7 linked regions of the Mus musculus genome follow. The protein of the gene in region 1 purifies or fractionates together with the protein of each later gene. This does not show direct contact. Links are inferred from orthologs where the notes say so. Each region holds a gene or a part of one and is shown on either strand. Other genes may lie near its edges. The genes, in order: Upf1, Dcp1a, Magoh, Alyref, Upf3b, Stau1 and Smg7.

The links.
Region 2: the proteins of Upf1 (region 1) and Dcp1a purify together in Homo sapiens (co-immunoprecipitation; 4 studies listed by BioGRID and IntAct, with this or other methods). This does not show direct contact. The link is inferred for Mus musculus from reciprocal best matches to the Homo sapiens genes UPF1 and DCP1A.
Region 3: the proteins of Upf1 (region 1) and Magoh purify together in Homo sapiens (affinity purification with western blotting; 3 studies listed by BioGRID and IntAct, with this or other methods). This does not show direct contact. The link is inferred for Mus musculus from reciprocal best matches to the Homo sapiens genes UPF1 and MAGOH.
Region 4: the proteins of Upf1 (region 1) and Alyref purify together in Homo sapiens (co-immunoprecipitation; 3 studies listed by BioGRID and IntAct, with this or other methods). This does not show direct contact. The link is inferred for Mus musculus from reciprocal best matches to the Homo sapiens genes UPF1 and ALYREF.
Region 5: the proteins of Upf1 (region 1) and Upf3b purify together in Homo sapiens (co-immunoprecipitation; 16 studies listed by BioGRID and IntAct, with this or other methods). This does not show direct contact. The link is inferred for Mus musculus from reciprocal best matches to the Homo sapiens genes UPF1 and UPF3B.
Region 6: the proteins of Upf1 (region 1) and Stau1 purify together in Homo sapiens (affinity purification with mass spectrometry; 7 studies listed by BioGRID and IntAct, with this or other methods). This does not show direct contact. The link is inferred for Mus musculus from reciprocal best matches to the Homo sapiens genes UPF1 and STAU1.
Region 7: the proteins of Upf1 (region 1) and Smg7 purify together in Homo sapiens (affinity purification with western blotting; 7 studies listed by BioGRID and IntAct, with this or other methods). This does not show direct contact. The link is inferred for Mus musculus from reciprocal best matches to the Homo sapiens genes UPF1 and SMG7.

Annotation. Positions count from the first base shown.
Region 1 is NC_000074.6:70,330,644-70,333,643, forward strand, and holds the end of Upf1 (regulator of nonsense transcripts 1), read right to left. Parts: intron 2,790-3,000; coding exon 2,628-2,789; intron 2,548-2,627; coding exon 2,330-2,547; intron 2,100-2,329; coding exon 1,980-2,099; 3' UTR 1,977-1,979; exon of another isoform or gene 1,965-1,976; intron 1,837-1,964; 3' UTR 850-1,836; downstream 1-849. Other genes in the region: Gdf1 (embryonic growth/differentiation factor 1 precursor), read left to right, coding at 56-834. UniProt on the Homo sapiens protein: RNA-dependent helicase required for nonsense-mediated decay (NMD) of aberrant mRNAs containing premature stop codons and modulates the expression level of normal mRNAs.
Region 2 is NC_000080.6:30,478,007-30,482,444, reverse strand, and holds the start of Dcp1a (mRNA-decapping enzyme 1A), read right to left. Parts: upstream 2,881-4,438; 5' UTR 2,824-2,880; coding exon 2,629-2,823; intron 253-2,628; coding exon 212-252; intron 1-211. UniProt on the Homo sapiens protein: Necessary for the degradation of mRNAs, both in normal mRNA turnover and in nonsense-mediated mRNA decay. Removes the 7-methyl guanine cap structure from mRNA molecules, yielding a 5'-phosphorylated mRNA fragment and 7m-GDP.
Region 3 is NC_000070.6:107,885,092-107,888,032, forward strand, and holds the end of Magoh (protein mago nashi homolog), read left to right. Parts: intron 1-2,085; coding exon 2,086-2,185; 3' UTR 2,186-2,333; downstream 2,334-2,941. UniProt on the Homo sapiens protein: Required for pre-mRNA splicing as component of the spliceosome. Plays a redundant role with MAGOHB as core component of the exon junction complex (EJC) and in the nonsense-mediated decay (NMD) pathway.
Region 4 is NC_000077.6:120,595,235-120,599,881, forward strand, and holds the start of Alyref (THO complex subunit 4), read right to left. Parts: upstream 3,132-4,647; 5' UTR 3,105-3,131; coding exon 2,871-3,104; intron 2,533-2,870; coding exon 2,401-2,532; intron 834-2,400; coding exon 686-833; intron 487-685; exon of another isoform or gene 374-486; intron 85-373; coding exon 21-84; intron 1-20. Other genes in the region: Anapc11 (anaphase-promoting complex subunit 11), read left to right, coding at 4,026-4,134. UniProt on the Homo sapiens protein: Functions as an mRNA export adapter; component of the transcription/export (TREX) complex which is thought to couple mRNA transcription, processing and nuclear export, and specifically associates with spliced mRNA and not with unspliced pre-mRNA.
Region 5 is NC_000086.7:37,093,087-37,096,942, forward strand, and holds part of Upf3b (regulator of nonsense transcripts 3B), read right to left. Parts: coding exon 3,772-3,856; intron 2,737-3,771; coding exon 2,436-2,736; exon of another isoform or gene 1-2,435. UniProt on the Homo sapiens protein: Involved in nonsense-mediated decay (NMD) of mRNAs containing premature stop codons by associating with the nuclear exon junction complex (EJC) and serving as link between the EJC core and NMD machinery.
Region 6 is NC_000068.7:166,961,565-166,965,420, forward strand, and holds part of Stau1 (double-stranded RNA-binding protein Staufen homolog 1), read right to left. Parts: intron 3,154-3,856; 5' UTR 3,095-3,153; coding exon 3,015-3,094; intron 2,031-3,014; coding exon 1,865-2,030; intron 1-1,864. UniProt on the Homo sapiens protein: Binds double-stranded RNA (regardless of the sequence) and tubulin.
Region 7 is NC_000067.6:152,899,745-152,904,367, reverse strand, and holds the start of Smg7 (protein SMG7), read left to right. Parts: upstream 1-1,721; 5' UTR 1,722-1,830; coding exon 1,831-1,859; intron 1,860-4,623. UniProt on the Homo sapiens protein: Plays a role in nonsense-mediated mRNA decay. Recruits UPF1 to cytoplasmic mRNA decay bodies.

The sequences.
Region 1 (3,000 bases):
CCCAGCCGGTTTGCTGGGACATCGCGCCATGTCCGCTCTCTCCTTGCATCTCCAGGTCTGTCCTCCAGGCCCGCACAACCCGCCAGGACCTCGGGGCTGTGCCCCGAGTGGACAGTCGTCTTTGACCTGTCGAATGTGGAGCCCACAGAGCGCCCAACACGCGCGCGCTTAGAGTTGCGGCTGGAGGCTGAGAGTGAAGATACAGGGGGGTGGGAGCTAAGCGTGGCACTGTGGGCCGACGCAGAGCATCCAGGGCCTGAGCTGCTGCGCGTGCCGGCGCCACCAGGGGTGCTCCTGCGCGCAGACCTACTGGGGACTGCAGTAGCCGCCAACGCATCAGTGCCCTGTACTGTGCGCCTGGCGCTGTCACTGCACCCTGGGGCCACTGCAGCCTGTGGGCGCCTGGCTGAGGCCTCCCTGCTGCTGGTGACGCTGGACCCACGCCTGTGTCCCTTGCCGCGATTGCGGCGCCACACGGAGCCCAGGGTAGAAGTTGGTCCAGTGGGCACTTGTCGTACCCGACGGTTGCATGTGAGCTTCCGTGAGGTGGGCTGGCACCGTTGGGTGATCGCGCCGCGTGGCTTCCTAGCCAACTTCTGCCAGGGCACGTGCGCACTACCCGAAACGCTGAGGGGACCCGGCGGGCCGCCTGCACTCAACCACGCTGTGCTGCGCGCGCTCATGCACGCAGCTGCTCCCACCCCGGGTGCAGGCTCGCCCTGCTGCGTGCCAGAGCGTCTATCACCCATCTCCGTGCTCTTCTTCGACAATAGTGACAACGTGGTCCTGCGACACTACGAAGACATGGTGGTGGATGAGTGTGGCTGCCGTTGACCACCCGGGACACCCTTTCAGGGACCGCCCCACGCAAAAGCAGGGACTGTTTGTTCATGTTTTATTGGTGACAAAAAGCTTAAAACAAATTTGACTAAAAATTAAGTTCCATTGCGTTGGCGCAGGTGTGCCTGGGTAGGGGTTGGGTGGCTGCCGCGGGAGGTGGGGGTCCGGGGCAGGGCGCCCAGCAATGAGGCCTCCACCCTCGATGGGGAAGAACCCGCAGGCCGTGCTCACGAGTTCGCCTGTGGCCTCTGAAGCTCAAACTCAAAAACAAATCCTCCGGCTGCGGTGCAGGCGGTGATCCCAGGCTGCGGGGCTCAGGCTTCTCAGCGCTGCCTTTCCCGGAAGCTTCTCGCATCTCTCAGGTTTAACAGTCAGGTCTCTAGAGACAAACCGATCCAAGTACTTCCCATACTCCTTTGAAAGAATCTTTGAAGGGGGTAGGGGGGAGGAAAGGAAAACCAAAAAGAAAAAAAAAAAAAACCAAACAAACAAACAAAAAAAAAAAACCAAAAAAAAGAAAAAAAAAAGAAAAACCAGAAAAACCCCAAACACCGTATTTTCTTTAAATGAAACCCCTTAGCGCTGGGACCGCGCACTGATGCTCCTGGCCGCCCGCTTGGGCACAGAAACGCGAAGTTCGTCCTGCTAAAACGTAGCCCCTCAATCACGAGAAACAAAGAAAAAGAACAGCGGGGCCGGTCCTGGCGAGGCCTCTCCCTCTGGCGGGCACGGCGCTGGGCCGGCCTCGCAGCGGTGCGGGCCTCTCTCCTCTCGCCGCCCACAGGGGGCGCCCGCTCCTCGGCGCTCCGCTCTGTCGTCCTCCCTGGCCGCTCTCTGCTCGCTCTCGCTCCTCTTTCCTCTCCTCTCCTCGGCTGCTCACACAGTGGTGCTTCAGTTTTAGCAGTGGAAAACAGGTATCCATTTATTTTTATTTTTTATTACCCAGAATAAGATGCTGATAGACTAAGCCACATAGCTTAGCTCTTCCTCCGCTACCTGTGATCAGGGACAGGGTTAGAGGTGTCAGGGCCAGTAGAGGCAGGACCTGCCAACACACCATATCTACTTGCCCAGTCTGTCTGGGAAGACCCTGTTTGCACACGTGTGCAGAGAGCTGAACCCACCAGGGCACTTGCCTTCTAGTACTGGGACAGCCCGGTGACCCCGCCGTGCTGGTATGCCCGCTCTCCCTGGTATGTGGAGTCTTGTGAGAGTGCCACGTCAATCTGTGATTTAAACTCATCACCGAGGTAGCTGTCCTGAAAGGCAAAGGTAGTGTGAACATGGCCAGGAAAGCTAGTAGCCCACAGCCACCCAGTCCGCAGACCCGAGGATGGGAAGAAACCCCATACTGCAGCCAGAGTGGCAGGGTGACAGGTTCAGATCCATAGCAGTAGAGTTCATTCACCCTTCAGAAAGGCAGCATCATGGTCTCATGTGTCCCCTCACCCCTCCACCCCCTTTTCTCTGCTGTAGGATGCAGGCCCACCTGGGACAGTTCTGGCTGGGAGAGGCCAGGCTGGCTCATCTGAGAGGGCTGGCTCATGGACACGTAACCCTGTGTGAGGGCACCCTGTGAAAAGGGCTGGGAGGCCACGTCCTGGCTGGCCTGGCTGTTGGGAAGGGTGGTCTGGCTGGGCCCAGGAAGCCCAAAGCGGTTCTTCTGGCGGCCCCCACGGCCAGTCTTGGTTTTTGGGGTGCCCCGACCTGAAAGACAGCAGTGAAATATGGCAAGGTCTACCTAAAGCTAGGAGGAGAGCCTGGGCAGTAGAGATAAAACCGCTTACCAGCTGCCGGCCCGTTGGCCTGTCCGAAGTAGCCAGGTGGCGGCATGGGAGGCATGACCAAGTTGAAGGGAATAGGGATGTTCATGGCAGCCACGTGGCTGGGGCCTGCGCTGATCATACTAATCTGGTCATGGGTCTGGAAGTACATGTTCGAGGGCCGGCCTGCAAAACATTTGAGTCAGATGCAGGGCTCCAGTGGACACTGGCTGCCATGAACTAGCTGCTGGGCCAGCCAGACAAGTAGGGAGGTCGAGTGTGTCTTGACATGCAGAGTGCTGGTAGAGGGTAAGAAATGACAGAAGGGTTGGTGAGATCTGGCCACGATGGAACTTTCTAGACAAACTTGGAAGCTTCCAGAAAGCAGAGGCCAGCC
Region 2 (4,438 bases), on another chromosome or scaffold:
TCTTTGGGATGCATTAATTTAAAAATTCTGAGCCACTTTTCCCAGGCTTGGAGAGGAGAAGCAGCTATTGTAGGATTGCACTGCTTGGATGAAGGAAAACTGGAGAAAGACAGGAAGGTTCCAAACACAGGTACACAATAGAAACTGACCATGCTACACGACAATGATCATCACCATTGAAGTGAAATAGAAACACCCTTAAGAAACTTACCTTCGGTATACAAATAACGTCCCTTCTATATCAGTCTTCTCCTGTAACAGACAATAACTCTGTTAGTTTTCCACAAATAATCCAATGCCAAATGGTCTCAGCTGAAGCAGACACACTTTCAGGCCAACTTGTCTTATTTACGGTGGAATCAGCTGTGTATGTGCTCTCGGGAATGCATGCCGGCGCTCGTGTATAACTGTGTAGAGGTTAGTGGTCACTCTCAGGTGTCATTCCTTCCAGTCGGGGGTCTCACTGGCCAGAAGATGGACAATTAAGCTACACTTGCTGGTCAGCGGGCTCCAGTGTTGGATCCTAAGTGGCTCCATATCCCAGTGTGGGATTGTAAGTGCAAGCACTATGCCCAGCTTTCTATGTGAATGCCTCAGGCTCTCATGCTTGGGAGGCAAGCACTTCATCCGCTGAGCTGTCTCTTTAGTCTCCAAATTAATCACTTTTGAGCAGGTAAAGCAAGCCACTTTTTATTTATTTATTTATTTATTTTCCTTTTTCCGGAGCTGAGGACCGAACCCAGGGCCTTGGGCTTGCTAGGCAAGCGCTCTACCACTGAGCTAAATCCCCAACCCATGCCACTTTTTAAAACTCTAAACAAATTGTGTACCCATTCAACCCTGTGTTTATATAAGTGTATGCAATGTCTAATCCAACAATATGTCTTCATCTGTAGCCTATGTCTATTTCCACCAGTAAGGAACAGCTAAAGGAAAACACACACATACATACATACACACACACACACACACACACACACACACTTAGCTTTACTTATTATTTTTATGTATTAAGTTTTTTTTTTCAATTAAAAAAGGTGCAGGAATGTTTTGTCAGCATACATATGTCTTTGTAACATATGTGTGTGTGGAGCTTACAGAGGACAGCAGAGGGCATTGGATCTCTTTGGACTAGAGTTACAGATGGATATAAACCAGCATGGGGATGCTGGAAAACTGAGCCAGGTCCTCAGGAAGAGCAGCAAATGCTCGTAGCTACTACTGAGCCACTTCTCCAGCCCCAGTTTTATCTTTGTAAACACAAAAACCTTTCAATTAGGTATCTTAATATTTACAGTCAAGGTATTGTGTACTGCAACTTAAAAAAAGAAAAACCAAACCAAAATAAAAAAACAAAACAAACTTAAGCAGTCTATGGAAGTTTATAGAAAAAGAATAGAACTTTCTTCAACCCTGATACCAGGGTTGAACTCAGAGCCTGGGGCTCATGATGCACAGCTGTGCACCATTGAGCTAAATCCCTACCCTTGGGAAATTTTCTTATAAGATCCTTTGTTTCATTTCTGGAGGATTTAGGAATATTTTCACAAGTTACACATTTTGCGGTTACCAAACACAATTTATTATTTTCAGAACTTTGTTAAGAATCATGGATAGAAACCATTCTCTGCCTTAGGCAAATTTGGTAGGGTTTTAAAATAAACAACTGAAAATGTGACTAAGAAATTGTAACTCGGGGTGGGTATATAGCCCAGTGGTAGAGGAACAGTGCCTGCCTGCTATCAGGGGGTCTTGGGTTTGAGTTCCTGTACTACAAGAAATAAACAAGAAAATCGAACATTAGTATTCTTTCTTTTGCTGCAACAGCGTTAACTCGGGTTTTCAGCGCAGGTGTTGAGCTTTAATGTTCTAAAACCGAACCTCTGTATAGCCCAATGAGTGAATGAGGAAAAACGGAGCACAAGAAAAGGGGCCGTGTACACAGGTGCTTCGAGTTGAGGTTAACTAGAATCTGCGAGTAGACAAAGTAACTTCTGCAACTCTATGCCACTCACACAATCCCAAAAGAAGGGAGCCATCAAAGGTCCTAGCACTGGTCTCTTTTTCTTGCAAACGTCTCCAAGGAATCCAGTTCTTACTGAAGTAGCCTTGAAAATTTTCCTCAAATTCCAGAGATACAGAGTAGTTCGACTAAAGCTGGTCTAACTCCTGAAGCTGATTTTTAAAGCTTCAAATCCAAACCATCACATTTAGGTCGGCAGGGAAAGAGGAGCGGACTCTTCCATCAAGTACATGTATCTAAGAGTCCTCAAAGTCTTCAAACACAGGCTTTCACTCACTTGTTAAAATTAACTTGTCTCATATTTTACCAATGCAACCTCAAGCCCCGAGAACCGACCCAAAAAGACTGATCCTGCCTCGTTTCTCTCCTCCATCCGATTTCCCTGCTCTGTCTCTGGTCTACTCCTTCCGCTACATTCTTTCAATTCCGCGTGCCCCGGTCACCTCTTTGGCTCCGGACCCGGTTTTGGGAGAGGTCCCGGCCTCGCCTTTGCGGTCCTGGGCTCCTGCTTCTCTCCCCCACCCCCAATCCTCAGCTGTCTGCGCGGTCCCTTTAAGAGGCGGCAGCGGCCAGGCTGGCCTTGTCCCCGGCCGGGCCTCACTCACCCACTGGTTGGCTTTGGGGCAGAAAGTGTACAGGGCGACCTGGCCCGTGAGGTCTGCGATGCTGGTGATATAGGGGTCGTGTTGTTTCAAGGCCGCCAGACTCATCTCTTGCTCAGCTCGACTCAACAACTCCATCTTGGATCTCAGAGCCGAGCCCCTCCGGCGGGGGCGGACTGTGGAACAGGAAAGTGCCATCCAGGCAAAGTTCCCCCAGCTCAGTCAGCCCTCCACTTCCGCCTACCGGCCCAGCCTTGCCGAGCGTGGTACTTCAGCTAATCTCATCCGCTGCTCCTGTGCGCCAGGAGCCCTGGTTCCGATTTTCTTCGGGCCGCGTCTGCCGGAAGAGACAGGCCCCCGCGCCTGCGCGGTGGAGCCGTGAGCTGATAGTCCGGAGACCTCTCTCACCTGGCGGGGTGTGAACCGGTTCCCTGAATGAACCTGACTCCTGCCGGGGAGGCTGCACCCCAGCGCAGTCCCTAACTCGGGTTCCGGCGCAGAATCGAAATGCTTGCTGCTGAGGACATGAGGTCTCCACGTACCATTTAGAAAACTCAGACCTGGCTGGAGAGATGGCTCAGCGTTTAAGAGCACTGACTGCTCTTCCGAAAGGTCCTGAGTTCAAATCCCAGCAACCACATGGTGGCTCACAACCATCTGTACAGCTACAGTGTACTCATATACATAAAATAAATAAATCTTTAAAAAAAGAAAAAAGAAAACTCAGTCCAAATGAGGAAGGGGAGCTGTCCGTCACTTCTGACCTCAGAGTGCACCTTCACTCTTAACAGTTTGGTAACTTTTGAAAGAAATGTTTCAAAGCAGCCAAACTAGCCTGCCTGGAACTACAATAGACTTGGCCTACCCTCTTTTGCTCGTCTTTTTCCTCATCTGGGTCCCAGATAAATATTTCTATTGTTCTATAGAGACGTCTATTATTTAAAATAGTAAGTAGATCTCTTTTAAAAAGAAAACATTTATTGGGCATTTTAAGGGATCAGGAAGTACTAAGAGGTAAAGCAAAGTGCTCAGGCTGTTTTCATTGAGTTGCTTTAAAAACCATCGTTTCTCTTTATTGAAGACATCTCAGCACAAATGAACATTTTTGAAAGGATAAACTTTACATTTTCTCAAAGTACCCCCACATATTTGTGTTGCTTGTGGTTTTACATACTAATGGAAGGGCAAACTTTACATTCTTGACAGAACCGCGTGTGAAGCAACTACAAAAGCTGGAACAGCCGCCTATCGGTTATTCACCCTTCACTTCTGTACACACTCACTGATCTTATTGAGTGGTTGCCAGCTCCGAGCTTCCAACTCTTTTGGCTCTAGGAGAAACTAAACGCAAGCAAACAGCCCCATGATAGATGTCTCTCTTTGAATTCCAGAGGGTGGCGTCCTTATTGCCATCTGAGCCAGGAAAGGTAGTGAAGGAACCTCACTACCAGTTCCAGCATGGCAGGCAAGGTTCTGGCAGACCTTGCTCTTCTCCCCTTTTCCCTCTGCCTTGCTAAAAACTGTTAGATTTTATTCCTAACACTAGCCACCAAGGTCTAGTCCCTAATTTAGCCACTTCTTTCTCCTGAGGCCGACTACCAAAGTCCAGCTATAAAAGTATTGAAGTCCAGCAATCAAAAGCCCCCTTTAGTTCACCTAATTAATGTGCCCAATTAAAATTAAACACATCCTACTGTGGGGTTTCCCCTTTTACCTTTATTAACTGCCGTTTGCCTGTGGGCCACTTCTGCCTCGACATCCAGAGGCAGTCCTTTATTCCCTCCTCCCCAAATATCTCTCATTCCCTTCCTCC
Region 3 (2,941 bases), on another chromosome or scaffold:
AAAGTGGATGGTGTGGCCGGGCGTGGTGGCGCACGCTTTTAATCCCAGCACTCGGGAGGCAGAGGCAGGCGGATTTCTAAGTTCAAGGCCAGCCTGGTCTATAGAGTGAGTTCCAGGACAGACAGGGCTACACAGAGAAACGCTGTCTCAAAAAAAAAAAAAAAAAAAAAAAGTGGGTGGTGTGGTCCTCCTCATAGGGGCTCCAGGTCACAGTGGTTCAGTATCATGGAAGGGTTGGTTTCAGGAATTCTGGTACTAGAGTCTTTAGTGCTTAATTTCCTTATATAAATTAGTGTCATGTTTGCTTGAAGCCTATGTACTTCCCATATAAGTCATCTTTATAAAACCAAATTCTGGGAAATAGCCGTTATAATGTATCGCTTAGGAAATGATAAGAGAAAATGTCTGAACATACATGTGACAGTTGGAAACCCCATAGACCTAACTATATCCACTCATGGCTGAGCCCACAAATGCAGATAGAGTTGGGCCAGTTGTATTTTCAGAAGTTGCTTCTTGTAGTTAATGTAGTTACTACTTCTCAGTGACATGGAAGAATAAATAGTGACAGCTGCTTCTCAGTGACATGGAGGAATGTGTAGTGACAACCAGAAGAGGAAATGACATGAGGCCACACAGTGCTGTGTGACCCTCACTGGGCGAACAGCTTCTCTGTGCTGACTGTTCGGACTAGCTCATCTTAGTCTTGGTGAAATTTGAAATCTTGCATCTAAGTTTTAAAATGCATGTTGCCAATGGTGTGACTTCTAACACTAGGATGTGATTCTATTTGCTATAAAGAACCTTAGAATTTGGCAGGCTCTCTGCTTTCTGGACACACTTGTCAGTGCTGCTTGCTACTTTAAATTTTCTTCTTCAACTCTTAGAACAATAGATGGTCATTGTAGAAAATACAGGAGCTATAGAAAAGAGAAAGGGGGAGTTCTTTCATATCCTTAATAGACAGCCAGTGATAACATCTTTTTGGTTTCAGAAAGGCTCTTATTATCTAGCTATGACTGTCCAGGAACTCAGCTATAGTGGTCAGGCCAGCCTTGAACTTTGAATAGAAGCATGTGTGTCTCCTCTGCCCAGCTCTACCTAACATCTCCACGTGTAATGTCTTAGTCTTAGAGAGCACCAGGAGCTGAGGCAGGTGGTGCATGCTTGTAATCTCCAGTACTCGGGAGGAATAGCGCAGAAGATCAGCTCACGCTGCGAACCCGAGATTGTGTTACTTACTTTGAAATACCCTGCCTTTAGGTGTGGTGTGGCTCAGCCTTAGCACACACCTGTAATCCAGGAGCTTTCCGCTTGAATATTATAAACATGATTAAGTCGACCATAGGCCAAAAGGCAGAGCAATCAGTTGACAGAGAGTGAACATAGGAAAAAACTAGAGAGTAACAGGGAGTTGGGAGAGCTGAGAGGTGCAGGACGTAGAAGGGAGGGGCATCCAGTTTGAAGGAGGAGCTTCGGAGACGCTTCTAGGACATTGGTTGATGAGGAACGTCAGCTGGGCGCTTTCTCTGCCCCTCTGAGCTTTCACTCCAGTATCTGGCTCTTGGAGGCTTCATTGATAAAACCAAACAATTCAGATTTTGTTTTAAAGAAACAACATAGGAATCTCATGATTGAGCCATTCTGATGTGTGTATATATATAACAAGACCCAGCCTCAAAAACAAACAACTTTTAGCCCCCTCACCCTGTGTTGGGGTGGAGGTAGAACTCTTTGTTTAGGTTTGTGGTACTAGGAGTTGAACATAGAGCATCTATCCATCACTGACCTGGTTTCCAGCTCTATGTATAGTTTTGTTTTAAAAGCACAAGAGACAAAATCTGTTTTAGAAATCACAGTTTTTCCCCTAAACTTTATATATTTTCACAGTAAAAACAGCATGGCTTCCTAATATATCATTTTAGTAAGTGGCCCTTGTTAATGGACATGTGCTTCCTCAGGGTTTATTACTGTAAATATCTTTATAAGGAGCATTTTTATAGTAATCGGGGTTATTAATTTTTTTTTGGTATTTGCCAGTTTTCCTCTGCTTCTTAAACATTTTGGTTTTCTTTTGTGTTTTAGGGATCCGGAAGGCTTGCGAGTATTTTATTATCTTGTCCAGGACCTGAAGTGTTTAGTCTTCAGTCTGATTGGATTACACTTCAAGATTAAACCAATCTAGATATTGGATATTGTGGACACAAGGCGGGTGGGAGTTTTTAGTTACCATAATTAGGATTTTTTTTCTGTATATTGGGGCAATTTTTATAAACAATAAATGATGATCTTTAATAAATGCGATAACATCTTTTTTTGTTATTTTTCTAAACACCTGAATATGTGAATTCTCAGTCTGTAAGATACAAACATTCTGTGGGAGACTTGACAAAGCAAAGAAAAAAACAAACCTAAGCAACTAAGAACTGCCATTTACAGGAAATGATGGGGAAAGGTTTAAAAATTCAGTGAGGGCCAAGGAGATGGTTCTGGCAGGAAAAGCTTTAATGCATAAACTTGACCACTACCCACAGCCCTGGGACCTATGCTGGGCCTGGACTAAGCCACCCAGGAGCAGAAAGCGATCCTGTCTGAGCAAGGTGGAAGGCAAGAACTGACTCAGAACTTCCACCCCTTTGCTGTGCCATGGGTGTGCGCTAGCACACACACTGCTGAATATTTTTTTCAATACATTGAAGTTGAGAACCCCATTAGCAATATTCTAGGACAAGGTACCTGGGTTTTGTTTTGACCACGCCTCCCCTCCCTTTCCTGTCCAGGATGACTTTGAACTTGGGATCTGTCTCCCAAGTGCTGGGATTTTAGGCAGGTGCCACCACACATAGTTCAACCTGGATTTTTAAGTTTCAAGGGAAATGGAAACCCTGAAGATTTACAAGATGACTAATTGCTGGAGTTATAGCTCAGTAGTAAAACACCT
Region 4 (4,647 bases), on another chromosome or scaffold:
CCGAGGACCACAGAACTCACCTCTGTGCAGGTCTTCGCTGTGTATCAATCTGTGATGTGACAAGCTGGATGTTCATAGGGCGGCCTATGGTAAAGAACACAAGAAGTCTCACTCCAGAGGCTCTGAAGCTGACTCAGAGGGCACCACACCCTGATCTCCATGCAAGCTCTGGAAAGGGCTCTGTGTGTCTCCAATGCCCCCAACAAGGTAAATGGCCTGGAGAGCCTGGTGGGAAAATAAAGTGCAATAATAATAACCCCACCAACACCTCCTCACTCCTTCTCAGTTCAGGCTAGGAGGGCTGTTTGGTCAGGTGTTCAGGGTGCTCATGGGCAGACAGGTGTGGGTGACCTGACGGAAGAAGAACAGGTACCTTTGTCTTTACGACTACAGCCCCGCACTCAGGTTGTACTATGGCGGTTCTGAGAAGGCTTCACAGAAGTGAATCTTCCGGAAGGAGCTCAAGGAGGGGAGGGATGTAGCTTGCTGGATGGGGGTTCACAAGAGGTTGGTCCAGATGTGTGGGGCAGCATGAGAGGTGGCAGAATGGAAGAGAGAGACAAAGGGGCAAATGCAAAGTATCCTCAGCCAAGGGGGGGGGGGCAGCCCAGATTCCTACAGGGAGAGGTGCCAGCCCCAAACTCCACACGCCCCACAGGCATCCAGGGCCCAGTCCCAGACTCACCATCCAAAGGGACACCATTGTACTGTTTCATAGCCTTCAGGGCATCTGCTTTCCGTTCAAAGTGCACATCTGCTGTCCCTAAACTTCGTCCAGAGCGATCATAGTGCACAGCAGCTTTTTTCAATGTCCCAAATTCAGCAAAGAGTTCCTGGGAAGGGGTAAAAATTAGCAATTAAGCCAATTTCCTTCTTGTAGCTCAGCAACACTTGCTGTAAGTCCTTATGCTTTAGAGGTACTTGACTGACAGCCACCCAGGAAGAAGGCAAGGCAGTGGAGATTAAGAGCTGAGGGAAGGGGAGACAGCAACTGTCGCGAACAACTGGGTTACTGTCCACTGTGGGACAATGTAATTACACCATGCTGTAGATGAGGGAAGACACAAAGTCCTATCACAGGACAAAACTACAAAACTCTCTCTCAGCAGGGGTACTTTCAACTTGACTAACTGCGTTTCACTAAATACCAGAGGCCAATAGTAAAACTGTCCATTGAGCAGACAACGCAAAGGGCCCAGTATTTTGGGGAACTGTGACACAGCCCCTACTGCAAAGGCAGGTTCTAGCTCACCTTCCCCTTTCCTCCTACTGCCTGCTGCTGCCAAGTCTGAAGTGAAATGCAGCATGGAACCTGTCCTGGCTGGGAGTTGGAGAGGGAACCCACAGAGTAAGGCACTTCAGCTGCAGGCACACAGTGGGGAGTACAGCTAGCTAAAGCAGTTTCCAGTGGATGCCAGAAACCACCTTTAAAAAAAAGTGTTGAGACAGGCTGGAGAGATGGTTCAGGGGTTAAGAACACTGGCTGCTCTCTTTCAGAGGACCTGAGTTCAATTCCCAGCAACCAATGTGACTCACAACTATCTATAATGGGATCTGATGCCCTCTTCAGGTGTCTCTGAAGAGAGTGACACTGTACTCAAATCCATAAAAATAAATAAATAAATCTTAAAAAAAAAAGAAGTGTTGAGACACTGTGAGTGCTCACCAGCCTTGTTCTTTTCTCCCATGGGGAGGTCAAACAGCTGGGCTCTGGGGAACGGTACCCAGAAAGGCCCAGCACACCTGACTCAGTTCTGGCTATATCAAAGCTAATTCCCAAAATTATGCCTTGTAACCAGAGAACTCTAAATGCCTCTGAGGTCCAGTTTATAAAGAAATTTAAAAAGACACAAAATCCAAGAAGGGAGGGGAAGAGAAAAAAAATATTTCGAAGGCATGGAGAACCATGACCCAGGTAAGACCCAGGAAAGATCGCCAGTTAAGATCCAGCACAGAGACGCAGGCTGGAAGATACTCTCAGCCACCTTTCTCAGCATCTGGGAGATGCTGGACTTCCTTCTCCTATCAGTTCACCATATCGAGCATAAATCTGAGAAGCAAGCACCTTTCGGTCATGCTGGGACCGGAGTTGTGGCCAGTCTGTGCAGGTTAGAAACTGTAAGCTCTGGCACAGGGCAGGCGCTCACAGTTTGGACAGCAGACAGGACTCATTTTTAGGGGGGCGCGCGCACACACACACATACACACACAGTGTGTGACATCTTCCTGCAGCCTGGCTTATGGGGTCGTGCTCAAACCCTACTTTTTCTGAGGCCAAGGCTCTCAGGGTGACAGTGGCTGGCTCTGGGCAGCCTAGGGGAGGGCAGGTTCCAATCTGTAAAGGATCCTGGAGCCCACGTCCGCGTGGGACGAGGAAAGCGGAGAGCTCCCGTCTCCTACCTGAATATCAGCATCTGACACTCCGAAGTCCAGGTTGGACACCAGCAGCTTCCCGCCGGTCTCCACGCCGGCTCCACCCCCGAAGCCGCTGTCGAAGAGGTCGTGCTGCCATTTGTCGGGAAGTTGTTTCGGCTGGAGAGAAACCGTAAGCACAGAGACACTCGTGAGACTCGTCCCGGGAGCCCGCGACACCTCGGCGACGCTCTCCCGTCGGCCCCGCGGCCAAGGTCGAGGAGCCCCGAGAGTCCCCCAGCCCCGCCGCTCCGCTACGGACACCCAAGTTCTCTCGCAGCGGCCCCCGCCGCCACGAGGCTGGACCACGACCGGACAAAGCGTCCCGGAAGATCCTGGCCTCGGGACGGCCTCGCCCCCGCCCACCCCTCGGCCGCGGTCCCGCGCGGGACGCTCACCCGGTCCCGGCCGGCCCGGGCGCACCCTCCCCGGCCCGCGCCGCAGGTCCCCGCACTCACTCTGCTGTACGGCGCCGGCCGGTTCCTGCCGCCGCCTGCGGCGCCGCGGGCGATGGCGGGCCGGTTCCTCATAGGCCCGCCGCCTCGATTCACCCGCGCGGCGGCCTGCACTGCGCCGCCGCGGCCGCCCTGGGAGCCGGCCCTGCCGCGACCCCGGCCCCCGCCGCGGCCTCCTCGCTGGCTCCGGTTCAGCTTAATGATGTCGTCCAAAGACATGTCCATTTTGTCGGCCATGGCGGGCGCGGATTCGGGCCTCGGATCGAGCCCGCGCGTCAGCACGCCGCGGCGTCACTTCCGGCGCCTCCCCCTGCCTTCCGGCGTCGCGGGCCCGAAGCGAGCGGCGATTGGTCTGGGCGCGCGCGATTCCGCAGAGCGCCTGCGTACGGCTCGCCGCGGTGGCTGGCGCTACTTCGGAGGAGCCCGACGCGGCGCGGTCGTTTTTATACATTCCCGCGCGGAGGCAACGGAAGGGCGGGGCGCCTCGTGATTAGGCCGCGGAGGTGCGAGGGCGAGCAGGGGGCGGGGCCTGCGGGCGCCTCCCTGGGAGGCCGGAAGATCCTCGGGCGTCGCCTGGGTGCAGCGCAGTGTGCGCGTCCCGCGTCCCTCCTCACCGTGCGATCGTGGGGGTCCCGGCCGGTCCGTGGGTCCGACTTGGTTGTTTTTGCTCGAAGGCTCGGTCTCCTGACGAGCTGGCGTCCTCACCCCTGCTTTAACTTCGCGGATTAGTGACAGTCACTCTTTCCATATCTTTAAAAGCGAGGCCCTGGTTAGTGAAAACCAATGTTTTGCGTGGATGCGGAGGTTTTGTTTTTGTTTTTTTGTTTGTTTTCGTTTCCTGTTTGGCTGATCTGCTTCTGCCCCGGGATTAGAGGCGTGTGCCACCGTGCCAGACTACATGAGTGCAGATCTTTAAAGGCATCCTTAAAGGTGGCAAAATAAACTCGTGCCATTAATCCCACAGGCTCTCCTTGCCGTCTTTAAAGACAAACACGTGCCTTTTTCTTTCTTTTTGGTCGGGACGCACGGAATTTTGGAAGATGCCGTTCTTGACGAGTGCAGCACTTGCCGCAGCTCCATGACTTTGAGCTTAGGTGCTTTCGTATTCCGTACTAACTCCAGGTCATCCTCTTCCCTCAGGTCACAGGCTCTGTTGTCATGAAGGTGAAAATTAAATGTTGGAATGGTGTGGCCACTTGGCTCTGGGTAGCCAATGATGAGAACTGCGGCATCTGCAGGATGGCGTTTAATGGCTGCTGTCCAGACTGTAAGTGTCTTCCTATGCGCTCTCAGAACTTTAGCCTACTCCACCAGCCTAAAAATCCCTAGGTTTCCCAGCACTGGGTAGGCAGAGACTGGAGGATCTCTGAGTTTGAGTTTAGCCTGGTCAACAGGACAAGTTACCTAACCCTAACCGAAACCCCACCGGACAGTGGTGTTGCACGCCTTTAATCCCAGCACTCTGGAGGCAGAGGCAAGTGAATCTCTGAGTTCAAGGCCAGCCTGATCTACAGAGGGAGTTCCAGGACAGCCAGGGCTACACAGAGAAACCCTGTTTTGAAAAAAAAACAAAAAACAAAACAAAACAAAAACAAAAAGCCAAACAGTGCAAGTTCCAGGATAACCAGGGCTACAAAGAAAAGCCCTGACTTGATAAAAGACCAGGTAAAACAAAAACAAAAAATTGTGGGTTTTAGTTTCTATTATCTGAGGGGAAAGTCGACAGAAAAAAGAAGCAGAATACTTCAAGCCCAGGTTTGTCTAAAGACCCCATCCAGCA
Region 5 (3,856 bases), on another chromosome or scaffold:
TAGTCTAGCAGTCCTGGAACTTCCCATGTAGACCAGGCTGGCCTTGAGCTCACAGAGATCCATCTGTCTCTGCCTCTTGAGAATGCTGGGATTAAAAGTGTTTAGCACTATGCTCAACCTGTAGTCATTTAAGAATTACTTAACATGCCAAGGGTGATGTTTTGAGAAGTCTATTGCCTAATTTTTTTAAAGATTTATTTATCATTATATGTAAGTACACTGTAGCTGTCTTCAGACACACCAGAAGAAGGCGTCAGATCTCATTTCAGATGGTTGTGAGCCACCATGTGGTTGCTGGGATTTGAACTCAGGACCTTCGGAAGAGCAGTCATTGCTCTTTACCGCTGAGCCATCTCTCCAGCCCCTCTAAATTTTAAAATAATATTTTATTAATTCTTTGAGAATTTTGTACATGCATATAATGTATTCGCCTAATTTTAAAACTACCTCAAGATAACCTAATTTATAGGTATTAGGTAATAAGAATTAATTACCCCTAATTTTTTTAAACTTAGAAACTACAAGAACCAAGGGCCAAGCTGTAGCTCAGTAACAGAGTGTTTAATACATTCAAAGCCAGGGGTTAGACAACTGGCCTGGGGGGGTGTAAGTCACTGGAGAAACTACAACTACATGCCTGTGATTCTCTACCAGTAAATCGCCTTTTGTGGTGGGAGAGGGAGAACAGGGCCTAAAGTAGCCTAGGCTGACCTCCAACTTGAAATCCTCCTTCAGACATGGGCCACCATGTCCCATGCAATAAATTCATTATAAAAATCTAAAACTACACAAAAATATGTTTAAGTTTGGCTTGATTTAGCTCAGTGGTAGAATTCTTGCCTAACTAGATTTGGGTTTGATCCCTAGCAAAAAAGAAAAGATCTGCTTGCCTTACAGAAACCCACCTGCTTCTGCCCCTGCGTTCTGGGATTACAGGTATACACCATGCCTAGCCTTAAAAAAAAAAAAGATTTATTTTTCCTTATTATTTTTTTAACTGTGTGGGGAAGTAGTATGCATGTGTATCTATAAGTACATGCAGTTGCCCACAGTGACTGGAGTTATATATGTCTGTGAGCTGCCTGACATGGGTACTAGCAATTGAAAAAATAAAAAATATTCACCCCTTAACTGCTAAGCCATCTCTCCAGCCCCAAGTGTTGTTATTGATACAGGGTCTCTTTACATAGCCCCGACTGTCCTTGGATTCAAGTAAATAGACCAGGCTGTCCTCCAGAGATCCTCCTCCATCTGCCTCCCAAGTGCTAGGATAAAAGCTGTGTCCTGCCATGCAAGCTAGGCCAGCACTTTTAACTACTGAGAAACACACTCAACCCCAAGCTCATTTTTATATATTACCCATGTCTATTTCCTTAAAGAATTTAGCTGTTGTGACAGAGACTATATGGCTCAGATAGCCTAAAATATTAGCAGCTGTTTTTCCAAGATTTGACTATTATTTTCATTTAAAAATTGTTTAATTATAAATTTTTAATGCTGTGTTTTGAACCTATGGTTCCATTTATGCTGTTGTCTATGACAGTACTAGTGCTTAAGTAGTAATTATAAAAGAAACAGAATATATATGTTCAATGAGATAAAGAAGTTATAATTTGCCAATGTACAGTCTGAGAAGATTCATAGGACAAACTGGTTTCTACAACAAACAATTATGTATCAGGGAAAAAAAAGATTGTTTAGATCAAAATAGAATTCAACCACACACTATGAACATTGTTCATGGCCCTTATTTAAAAAGACATTAATGATGCAACTGGGAAACTCTCACTAGGAATAATTAGGATAGTAAGAAATTACCTTTGAAGCTGGGCAGGGTGGGGCATGCTGCTAATCTCAGCATTCAGGAGGCAGAGGCAGGCGGAACTCTGTGAGTTCAAGGTCAACCTGGTCTACAAAATGAGTTCCAGGACAGCCAGGGCTACAAAGAGAAACCCTGTCTTGAAAAAAAAAAACAAAAACAAAAAAAGAGAGAGAGAAAGAAAGAGAACAGAAAAAGAAAAACAAAAAAGAAAAGAAACAAAGAAAGAAATTACCATTGGGCTGATGAGATGGTTCATTGGGTAAGAGGACTTGCTGCCAAGCTTGACAACCTGGGTTCAATCTCTAGAACCCACCTGGTGGAAGGAGAAAATGGCTCCCACAAACTGTCCTCTCACCACTATTCATGCACTGGACATGTATGCACGTGTGCACACTCATGTGCACACATGCAAAAAATAAATACATAAATTAGAAAAAAAGAAAATGAAAATTCCACAATAGGGACTGGGGATGAAGTTCACTGGCAGAAAGCTTGCAATGATTCAATACCTAGTGGGGGTGGGGATAGGGCACATTCCTTTAAATTTATCCTTCTAAGAATAGGGGGGGAATCCTCATAAAAACAACCAAGTTTAATAAAAAAACAGCAGCACCTTGTTCCTTATGCGGTCTCTCTTAACCACTTCCTCTTTTTTTTCAATTTTTTCTAATGAGCATATTGATTCTGTATTCTCACTCTTCTTTCCTTTATCTCGAAGTGCCTCTTTCTCTCTCTTCATTTCTTCTTCCTTTCGCTTAAAAGCCTTCTCTTTCTCATAGCGTTCTTTCTGCTGCTGCCGCCGGCGCTCTTCTTCTTGCCGCTTCAGCCTCTCTCTTTCTCGGATCATGCGCTCCTGATCTCTCTCATAGTCCCGGTCCCTGTCTCTGTAATCTCTGACACCCTCGTCATCGAGCCTGTGTGAAAAATAAACAAGAGGGCTGGAGACACCTTTCAGTTGATAGAGTGCTTTGCCTAATGATGTGAGAAGTGCCCAGGGCTCCGAGAGCCTGTCTGAAAAACAAGACAAGACAAAATAGAACGGAACAGAAAACAACGGTGAGGCCAAACCTTCACACATCCTATGATTGCAAATACGGAAACACTGTGGTTCTAAGTTGGCCATCTTATTGAGGGTGCACTTTTACAGCTGAGGAAAAAGTAGGAGTTGTTTTAGAAAATAAGAAAAACCAGAAGTCAGGGCTGGAGGGCTGTCTCATAAGTCAAGAGTCTATTTCTTTTGCAGAAAACCCAAATTTGGTTCCCAGAGCCCATATCAGGTGGCTCACTGCCGCCTGTAACTCCAGCTACAGGAGGATCTGACACCGTTGGCCTCCTTGGGCACATGCACAAATAGGCACACCCAAGACAGACAGACAGATACACACACACACACACACAAAATAATAGAAATAAATAATATTTCTGAAAATAATAAAAATAAATCTTTAAAAGGAAAAAAAAGACAGCGGTCATTCATCTAGCTGGAGACACCAGAATATTTGAAACATATGACCCTCCTCCCTCTACTCCATATAAAGCAGCTCCTTTTTTTTTTTAAATAAGAGGTTTTTTTTTAAAAGATTTACTTATTTTACTTATTTTATATATATGAGTACACTATAGCTGTCTTCAGACACACCAGAAGAAGGTATTGGATCCCAATACGGATGGTTGTGAGCCACCATGTGGTTGCTGGGATTTGAACACAGGACCTCAGTAAGAGCAGTCAGTGCTCTTAACCACTGAGCCATCTTTCCAGCCCAGTAGTTCATTTTTTTGAGAAGGTCTTGCTATGTAGTCTAGGCTGATCTTGAAGCTACCCATCCTCCTATCTCAGCCTCCTGAGTGTTACTGCAGGTTGTGTGCGCCATGACAAATAATTTAATTCCATACAAGTCCAGGACACGGCGGCATCTGCATTAGTGGCCCGGCTCTCACTGCTGACTGACCTCTTTGGCTTTTCATCCTTCAGTTCGACATCAGAACGCCTGGGCAGAGTATAACTGTGCCCACTGGCTCTTTCTTCATTCAGAT
Region 6 (3,856 bases), on another chromosome or scaffold:
TCTCCCCGTCCTCAACAACAGTTTGCTTCCTTCCCAGCCTGAGCTCCCTTACCCACTGGCTTCCCCAGCATCATGCAGCCAGGCTTAGATGCTTCCTTACCCCTCAACAGCAGAGCTCTGGCCTTCTCTTCTTCATGTGCTTGCCGCCCTGCCCAAGCTGGACCCAAGGGACAGTGCTACCTCAGCCTCCTAAACAGCCACCTCTCCCTGTCCCTTATGGCTGCATGGCTGCTTTCCTTGGCTAGTTCTTAAAGCTAATCTTCCCTCCAAGTGCCTTAGAAAGCTGAAGACCTACAAAGTTTGGTTTGAAATTTGACTGTCTATGAGGGAGCCATGCCAGCTGGTGCCATCCATAGGCTGCATCCACCCTGGAGATAAGTCTCTCACTGGCATGAAGCTGGTCAAGCAACTACCAACAGTCATCCTAGGAATTACTTACTCAGGCTGGAGAGATGGCTCAGTGATTAAGAGCACTGACTGCTCTTCCAGAGGTCCTGAGTTCAAATCCCAGCAACCACATGGTGGCTCACAGCCATCTGTAATGGGATCTGACGCCCTCTTCTGGTGTGTCTGAAGACAGCTACAGTGTACTTACTTATAATAATAAATCAATCTTTGGGCCAGAGTGAGCAGAAGTCCTAAAATTCAATTCCCAACAACCACATGAAGGCTCACAACCATCTGTACAGCTTCAGTGTACTCATATGCATAAAATAAATAAATAAATTTTTTTTTTAAAAATTACTTACTCTCCAGGCACAGGAAAACAAAAAAAAAAAAACAAACAAACACAAAAAAACCTGTAAGATTCCTTTTCTACCCTGTAGTTTTAAATCACAACCCATGGCTAATAATATTAGCATTAACCTTTAGCAGTAGCTAAAACAAACAAAAAGTTCCAAATTCTTCAACACCTTCTTTTCCACACTGTGAGTGCCCTAGAAGCCACTGGATAATGCTTGTACTAGAGTTGAGAGTTCATCTAATGTGGTCTTTAATAAAAGAACACACAAAGGTGAGTCTCCTTATCTCCTTCCTTTAGCTCTGGGACTGCCTAACCTAGAAACCATGACAGAAGCCAGGCTGTGGGTTCAGAGAATTGGCTTTAATAACTGGCTTCCTTTTCCTGTCTATAAGGATTCTCATTCTTGAGATGCAGTCACCAAACTGTGAGGAGGTACCAACAGCCCCTGTAAGAGGGACACTACCCAGAAACTACGGTGCCCTGTCAGGAGGAGCCATTTTTCTACTAAGTCCTCCCAAGCTGGTGACGTCCTGGTGAGCTTCCTCTGCCAGCAAGCCGCCACATCTAGCCCTGCTCAAGCTGCAGATCTTTGAGTAAAATACATGCACCATGTTCTAGGATAACGTGCTAACAAAAGACTAAAAGCATTTCTACAGAAAATGGTGGTGGGCTGAAGGTCACAAATACTCTTAATTTAGCACCACAAATCATGGCTTCTAGCTGGGCGTGGTGGCTCACAGGTTTGATTTCAGCACTCAAGAGGCAAAGGCAGGCAGAGCTCTGTGAGTTCAAGGCCAGTTTGGTTTACATTGTGAGTTTAGGCCAGCCAGAGCTACACAGGAAAAACAAAAAACAAAAAGAACACCAATCAGCAGCTCCAAGAGCATAGGTGTCAGCACTGAGAATCCGACACTCACAACTCAAGAGCCCCGGCCTTCCCACACCCACCATGTGCTCTACACTCCATTGCCAGGGGAAAAGGAAAGGCCATTTGCTTTCCTGCTGAGACATTTAGGGGACACTTTCCCAGTGACAGAATCTGGATTAATTACCCAGTAGTACAGACAGCAGCAGCACCTTGGAAGTCAGTGAGGTGTCTCAAGCTCGCGTCCACCTTACCTCCAACCTTTCTGGCAGGGGTTCACTCTGCAGAGTCCTCAGCGCACGGGCAGGGGCATCGTGTTTCACGGGTGGTCTCATCTTTCCTTTCCCATTAAACTGCTGTCCGCCCACGGAGAGCTCAACTTGGTAGAGTAAAGGTGGGACTGGAAATGGGTAAAAGTATCTACAAACACAAGGGTAGGGTCTCAGTCTCCATCTCCTAAGTCAGCCATACTTTCTTCAGCAAACCCCACTCTTTGTGTACTCTGGCCTTGTCACCGTGCTCATAGCTAGAAAGACCTCCTGGTCAGCTCTACAAAAGCTGCCCTAAAACTCATATGATCTACAGCTGCCACACTGTGACTAAGCAGAGCGCTAGAGTCACACTTACTCTAGTAGCTGACACATGCTATGTACGCATCTGATGCTCCACAATAGGCCATACTGACAGTGCCTGAATGAACGCAGGTGCTGGCCGAGACAAACTTAGCTTGCTTTCCTTTCTCAAGCCTTCAGTGTGCACTTGCACATCTCTCAAAGAGTCTGGGAATTTTAAGGGTGACGTCTTTTGGAAATGACCCTCATTTTGGAAATCTCAGCAGCACCAAGTCCAAAAGAGTCTGGTTCCTTCTACTTCAAAACCTGTATTTTTGAGGTTTTGCCCTCCTGCACCTCATCAGAGGATGGGTGGAAAATGAAACAGCTGCCTCCATCACTGATCTGTTCACTAATGTCTCACTCCTGAAGCAAAGGTTTGAACATACAACAAGAGTTTATGTAGCCCAGGCTGGCCTGGCTTCTACTTAGCAGATACTCTTTCTGCTTCCACCTCTGGAACTCTAGGGTTATAGGCCATCTGCAGCCACTTTAGGCTCTGACCCTTCTGAGCACTATTACTTAGTCTCAGCGTTGCACAAAGCACAATGTCAGAGAAGACTTTCAGGAGCATGTGCTGAGGAAACAACGTAGCCAGACCATGGGTGTGAATGCAGCTGCTCCTGAGCAACCTGCTTGGGCCCTCTGCAAAGGCAGTAGGCTTCAACAGTCCCAGCACAGTACCAAAGGCACACCTTAAGTCCAGAGGTGAACCTGAGGCAGACCAAATCATTCACAATTCATAGAGACTACTTTAGGGAAAAACCCAACTAATTCCACCCCAAGCACATACCTGGGGGGATAGGCACCTCCACGCATGCCATAGCTGTAGGTGGACTGCATCCGAGAGTGAGGGTCCACGGGCTTATACATTGGTTTTCTTTCCAGTTTCACACACAGTGCATTGAGCTCAATGGTAGAAGCTATACTTTCTGCAACACAAAATCATACAAAGGATGGTTCAGGCCCTGGACACTGATGCTAACAGCCAAGCACTCTACCCCTGGACATCCATCAGGAAATCCAAGAATCCACACAGTGTACAGAATCACGGGAAAAACCTGGGTAAGTTGAGGGAAGTGGATGTCTAGAGGAGGCAAATGAGGACCAGAAAACATCCAGATATCTCCAACCTAACATTACAGTGGGGCTGAACCATGGTCACAGATGACAGGAAACCCAGTTTCATTTTCATATACATCAACAGGGAACTTTAACCTCAGAATTGATGACTTGAGAAAATACAGACTAAGACTGGAGATAGGGCTCAGCAGTAAGAGCACTTGCTGTCTAATCATAAAGACTAGAATTCAGATCCCTACATTGACACAGCAAGGTCCCACACATGTCTGCTACCCCGGCTCTAACAGGACTGCTGTCTTCCAACCTAGCTGAGAAAACATGAGCCCACATTTTAGGAAGAGGTCCTACCTCTAAGGAATAGGTGGAAAATTTCATGAGAAATCCCAGTGCTGTCTTCTGAACTCTATACACAGCACACACATCTGCACACATGTGTATACACACTCACAGAAATACACACACTACTCATCTTCTAATTTGCTCTCTTAGGTCATCTAATTCACAAACCTTCACAAACCAAAACAGCTCGAAAGATTATTGTCATGGCATAAC
Region 7 (4,623 bases), on another chromosome or scaffold:
GCTGCTTATATAACTTTCAACATCAATTGAAAATAAAACCTGTAAAATATCAATAATTACTTCATTCCATCAGAATGACTTATTCTACACGATTCCACATCATCAGGATCCATTATTTCTATTTTAACCCTAAACCTGACACAAAATGCTTAAAATATTCGTTCTCAAAATGGAAAATTATTTTCTTAAACTCCCTCATGCAGATAAATCTAGATACTTTTTTTTTATGGCAAGTTCTAAAACACTGCAGATGTTTTTGAGGAGGGGGTCTTTGGAGATCAACCTTCGATGACGGAGCGTCTTTTCTCTCTGAGGGTACCTCTGGAAAGAACGTCATCAGCCTTTCTGATCGCTCTCCATTCTAAATGCCTAAGAACTGCGTGTTAGCCTCCTAGGCTGGGTTCGAGCTCTCACTAAGTCGCCTACGGGAGGTCTCGCCGGTGATATCGAGTAGGAATTAGGCAAGGGTCGACCGGCTACAAAAAGTCGAACATTCGCGATCGCCGGAGCCGCATCTCGGTTGTCATGTGCCCGTCTCTTCCCTTAGGGACCCGCTTCTGGCGGGATCCCGCTGCCCAGCCTCAAACAGTGGTGGGGAAGCCCCTTCCCTTTCCTCTGACTTCGCAGCATCGCCCTCGCTTTCTCGTTCCCACCCACTCGCCGCCGGCCTTCATAACCTGCCTTTTCTTCTCGGGCCCGGCCCTCTCCCTACCCGGCTCAGATAGGCAACGATGGAGGTGGTTTCCACCCTTGGGGGACTGGCAATGCCTAAAATGAATGCTTCGGGGTCTCCCCCAATTTTTGCTGGGAGAGTAAGGGAGGAAGAAATGGACTTTCCTACTCGGATAACCATTTCGACTTCTGGCTTTTAAAAAGGCAGGGAATCCAAGTGGGGAATCCTGGGCAGTTTCCAGGGAACCCGTTTCTCTACGGGAGGGTCACCCTGTCTACACACGGCAGTTACTATGACAATACAACCACAGCCTCCAGTTTCCATGGCAGCGGCCTGCCCAATCGGATTGGTTTTCCTTTCTATTTCTCCCTGGGCTCCGCCCTATTCCCCCCCCCCCCCCCAACCTTCTCCCAGAGTGCCCGGGGAGGGGCGGCTGAAACGGGGGAGGCCTCTGCGTCACTCTCCGGCGCGCGAGGGGACGACCGGAGTCGAGGAATTGGCGGGCGGAACTGTAGGAGGAAGGGGTGGCGTTTCCGGCGGGGAAAGTGGAGGAGTGGGAAAAAAAAAAAAAAGAAAGAAGGAAGGAAGTGAGAAGTGGGCGGGTGGCCGGGCGGAAGGCTTTGAGTGTGACTCCGGGCTGCTCTGGGCTCGATGTCCGCGGTGAGCCGGGGGCCGCCCCCGCGCCCGGGAGGAACAGGACGGAGCCTTAGGAGGCCGCCGGGCACCAGCACCGGATCGTTCGGCCGGCGCGCGGGCACCGCACCGCTCGCCGATCCCAAGAGGGAGCGCTACAGAGCGGCGGAAAGCACCCAGAGGGACCGGCGCTGCTGAAGTCTCGCGAGAGCGAACCCGACTTCCTTCCTCTGCTTCTCCCCTCCTCTTTCCCCGCCCCTTTCCCCTTCTTTTTCCCCCCCCCCTCCGGAGCCGGAGCGTCCCTGCGCCCCACAGGCCAGAGCCGCAGCCGCTGCCGGAGCCGCTCCCCCCAACTCCCTCCCCCTCGCCTCACTCACTCTCCCCCCCCCCCACCCCGCGCCAAGCGAGGAGGAGTCGGAGGAGAGGAAGATGGCGGCGACCGCCAGCACCCGCGGGGCCGCGGGGCCGCTCCGAGGAGCCTGAGAGACCCACGGAGGCTTCGCGGCGAGACGCGGCGGCGGAGGATGAGCCTGCAGAGCGCGCAGTATCTCCGGTGAGCGCCGGAGCTTGGCCGAGGCGTGGTGGCGACGGGGGAAGGGGAGGCTCTCGGGGGGCCGAGGACCGGCGGACTCGGAAGCGGTGGGGGAGTCGCGGCGTCCTTCTGTCCCCAGGGCGGGGAGGCCGAGCGCGGGGCCGAGCGGGCGGCTGCGGGAGGGGGCGGGCACACACATGGCTGCCTGGCCCCCGGGAAGCCGGGCGAGCCGCGCTCCGGGGGAAGCCGGGCGAGGAGCGGAGGGAGGTTGGGGAAGCGGGAGACGAGAACGTGTGTGTGAGTGTGTGTGTGTGCGTGTGCGCGCGCGCGCGCGCGCCTCTGGTCGCAGGCTGCGGGGCCGGGGTAGGGGAGAGGAGAGCCGGCAGCGACCCAGAGTCGAGGTGGGTGTGAAGGGGTCTGGAGCCCACGGCCCGGGAAACGTGGTGTGCTGGCCGGGGCGATGCAGGAGAGAGGAGGATGGAAGTCGGCACACCTGGGGGTTGGGAGGGCGCATTCTGGAGGGCAAATGAGAGGAAGGGGAGCCCGCAGGAAACGCGAGCTTGTTCTTTAGTCGCGGGCTGGAAGGAGGAGAAATAATGCCTTCTGTCCAGAGTTAGAGGGGTCGGAGAGCCCGGAAAGGGGGAAAAAGGATGGGGAGACGAGGGAAGAGGGAGGTGCTACGAACAAGGTGATGTTCTCGAAAGAAACTGTAGTTGGAAGATACCATTCTGAGAGTCGTGTGCATTCATTAGGTGCGATGTAAGGAACTTGTATGAAGGAGATAGAGTGACCCATGGGTACTGGGGGTGCGTGCGTGTGTATGTGTATGTGTGTGTGTGTGTGTGTGTGTGTGTGTGTGAGTGTCTGGGGTAAGGGAGGGGAAGCAGGGATTGATGCACACTTAAAGAAGACTCACATGCATTAACACCGACGTCGAGAACATTTTGAATGGAAAGACAGCAGCTGGTGTGCAGTCAGAATAGTTTGACGGATTTTGAGTGAGAGCTTGGAGGAAACTAGAGGGGAAAATACAGCCTTCACAATGGGAAATAAGGTTGCTAGTGCCTGAGGCTAATGGAGGAGTTGCTAAGACTGGGAACTTACAAACTGGCCTTTTTGTCTTTCAGGAACAGTGTTTTTCTTTTAAATAGCAGGTCTTATTTGGGAAGATACTTTTAAAAAGTGAGTTGAAACCTTGAGGAGAAGAGAATTGAATGGGTAGATAACTGAGTAAGATTTTCTTTAGCTGTTTAGACATAAGTGATGTGGAAGTCGATGTGTTAAGAGTGGTCCCATATATATATTTATATTGCAAGAGAATTGATGTTGTTCTGTGGTAAACAGAGTGGCTATTCTGTCTTTGAAAGTAGTTATTCATTACACTGGAGAGAGAGTGGTGGGATCTCTGAATCTTTGATGCATGAATTCCAGAGTTTAGCACAATGTGTATGCCTGATATTATAAGGTGGCATTCTCTTTTTTTTCCTCTGTTACCCTTATTACTGCATTAAGTAAACTTTACAGTGAGCTGTGAATATATAGGTGCAGTAGAAAAAAATAGAAACTACCAGGACAGTTCTTAATCTTAAGGAAATTACATGATAATATCCAGTGTGTGAGTAAATTAATAGCACAGACTAATGTAGCTATCACCACAAAAAGGTACCATGTTTTTGAGTCCTAGATGACCTGAGCAGTTGAGGGAAATAGGAAAGGCTCTCTTTGTTCATCTGCTCTTTCTACTCCTATGATTCATTGATTGGTTGGTTGTTCACCTGTAGGTAAGGCATTGTACCAACTGCTAAGAATAGAGAGTAAGGACTCCACCCTCTTACAGAACTTACTAGTTTGTTAGGTTTTAGAAGAAAAGAACACTTAAACTTTTATAAGGATGGACTCTTCCTGACAGCTGTGGATTAAGAAAGGGAGATTCTAAATGGAAGGACATAGATAATAAGGAAATGGAAGGGGGAGTGGTGTTTGGTTAGGCAAGAATGCTGGAGGGCTTGAATGGAGTTTAACTTTTTTCTTTTGCAGATTAGGAAGGTGAGTCCAAAGAAGCTATTGAGGATCGAATGGCTGGTGTGTAAAAACAAATTCAAATGCTTGTCTTGTAGCTTCATGTCAGCTTTCTGTGCTGCATATCTATGCTCATTCTTTGCCCAAGTGTGAACTGAGGGCTTTCTATAATCTAGGAGCTGAGACTTCACTGGTGAAACAAGGGTGAGCATGGGGTAGTCTATCTTGATAGAAAGTCAGTAAACATGAACAGATAAATACACTATAAGGTCCTTTGAAATGATAGAAAGGAAAATAAGGCCGTGTATTTTTATATGAACACAGGAAAACCTATTCTGTAATCTGATGCTAGAAGGGTCTTAAATTTTATGATCTTTAGTTTATAGATAAAATAAGTAGACATCAGAAATATTATGATGAGGGATGGATAGAGATAGGAATATAGCTTCATTTGTAACATAGCATGCTTGCTTACCCTGCACTAAATAAAACTGAGTATAATAAAGTTCGCCTGTAATCCTATCATTCTGAAATAGGAAACAGGAAGATCAGAAGTTCAAGGTCATCCACTATTTAGCAAGGTCAAAGCCACCTGGGCTTCATAAGGCCCTGTCTCAAAGAAAGAAATCTGAGATGACTTGTTAAAAGGCAATTTGTAAGCCCGGCTGTGGTGGCACACGCTTTTAATCCCAGCGCTTGGGAGGCAGAGACAAGCAGATTTCTGAGTTCGAAGCCAGCTTGGTCTACAGAGTGAGTTCCAGGACAG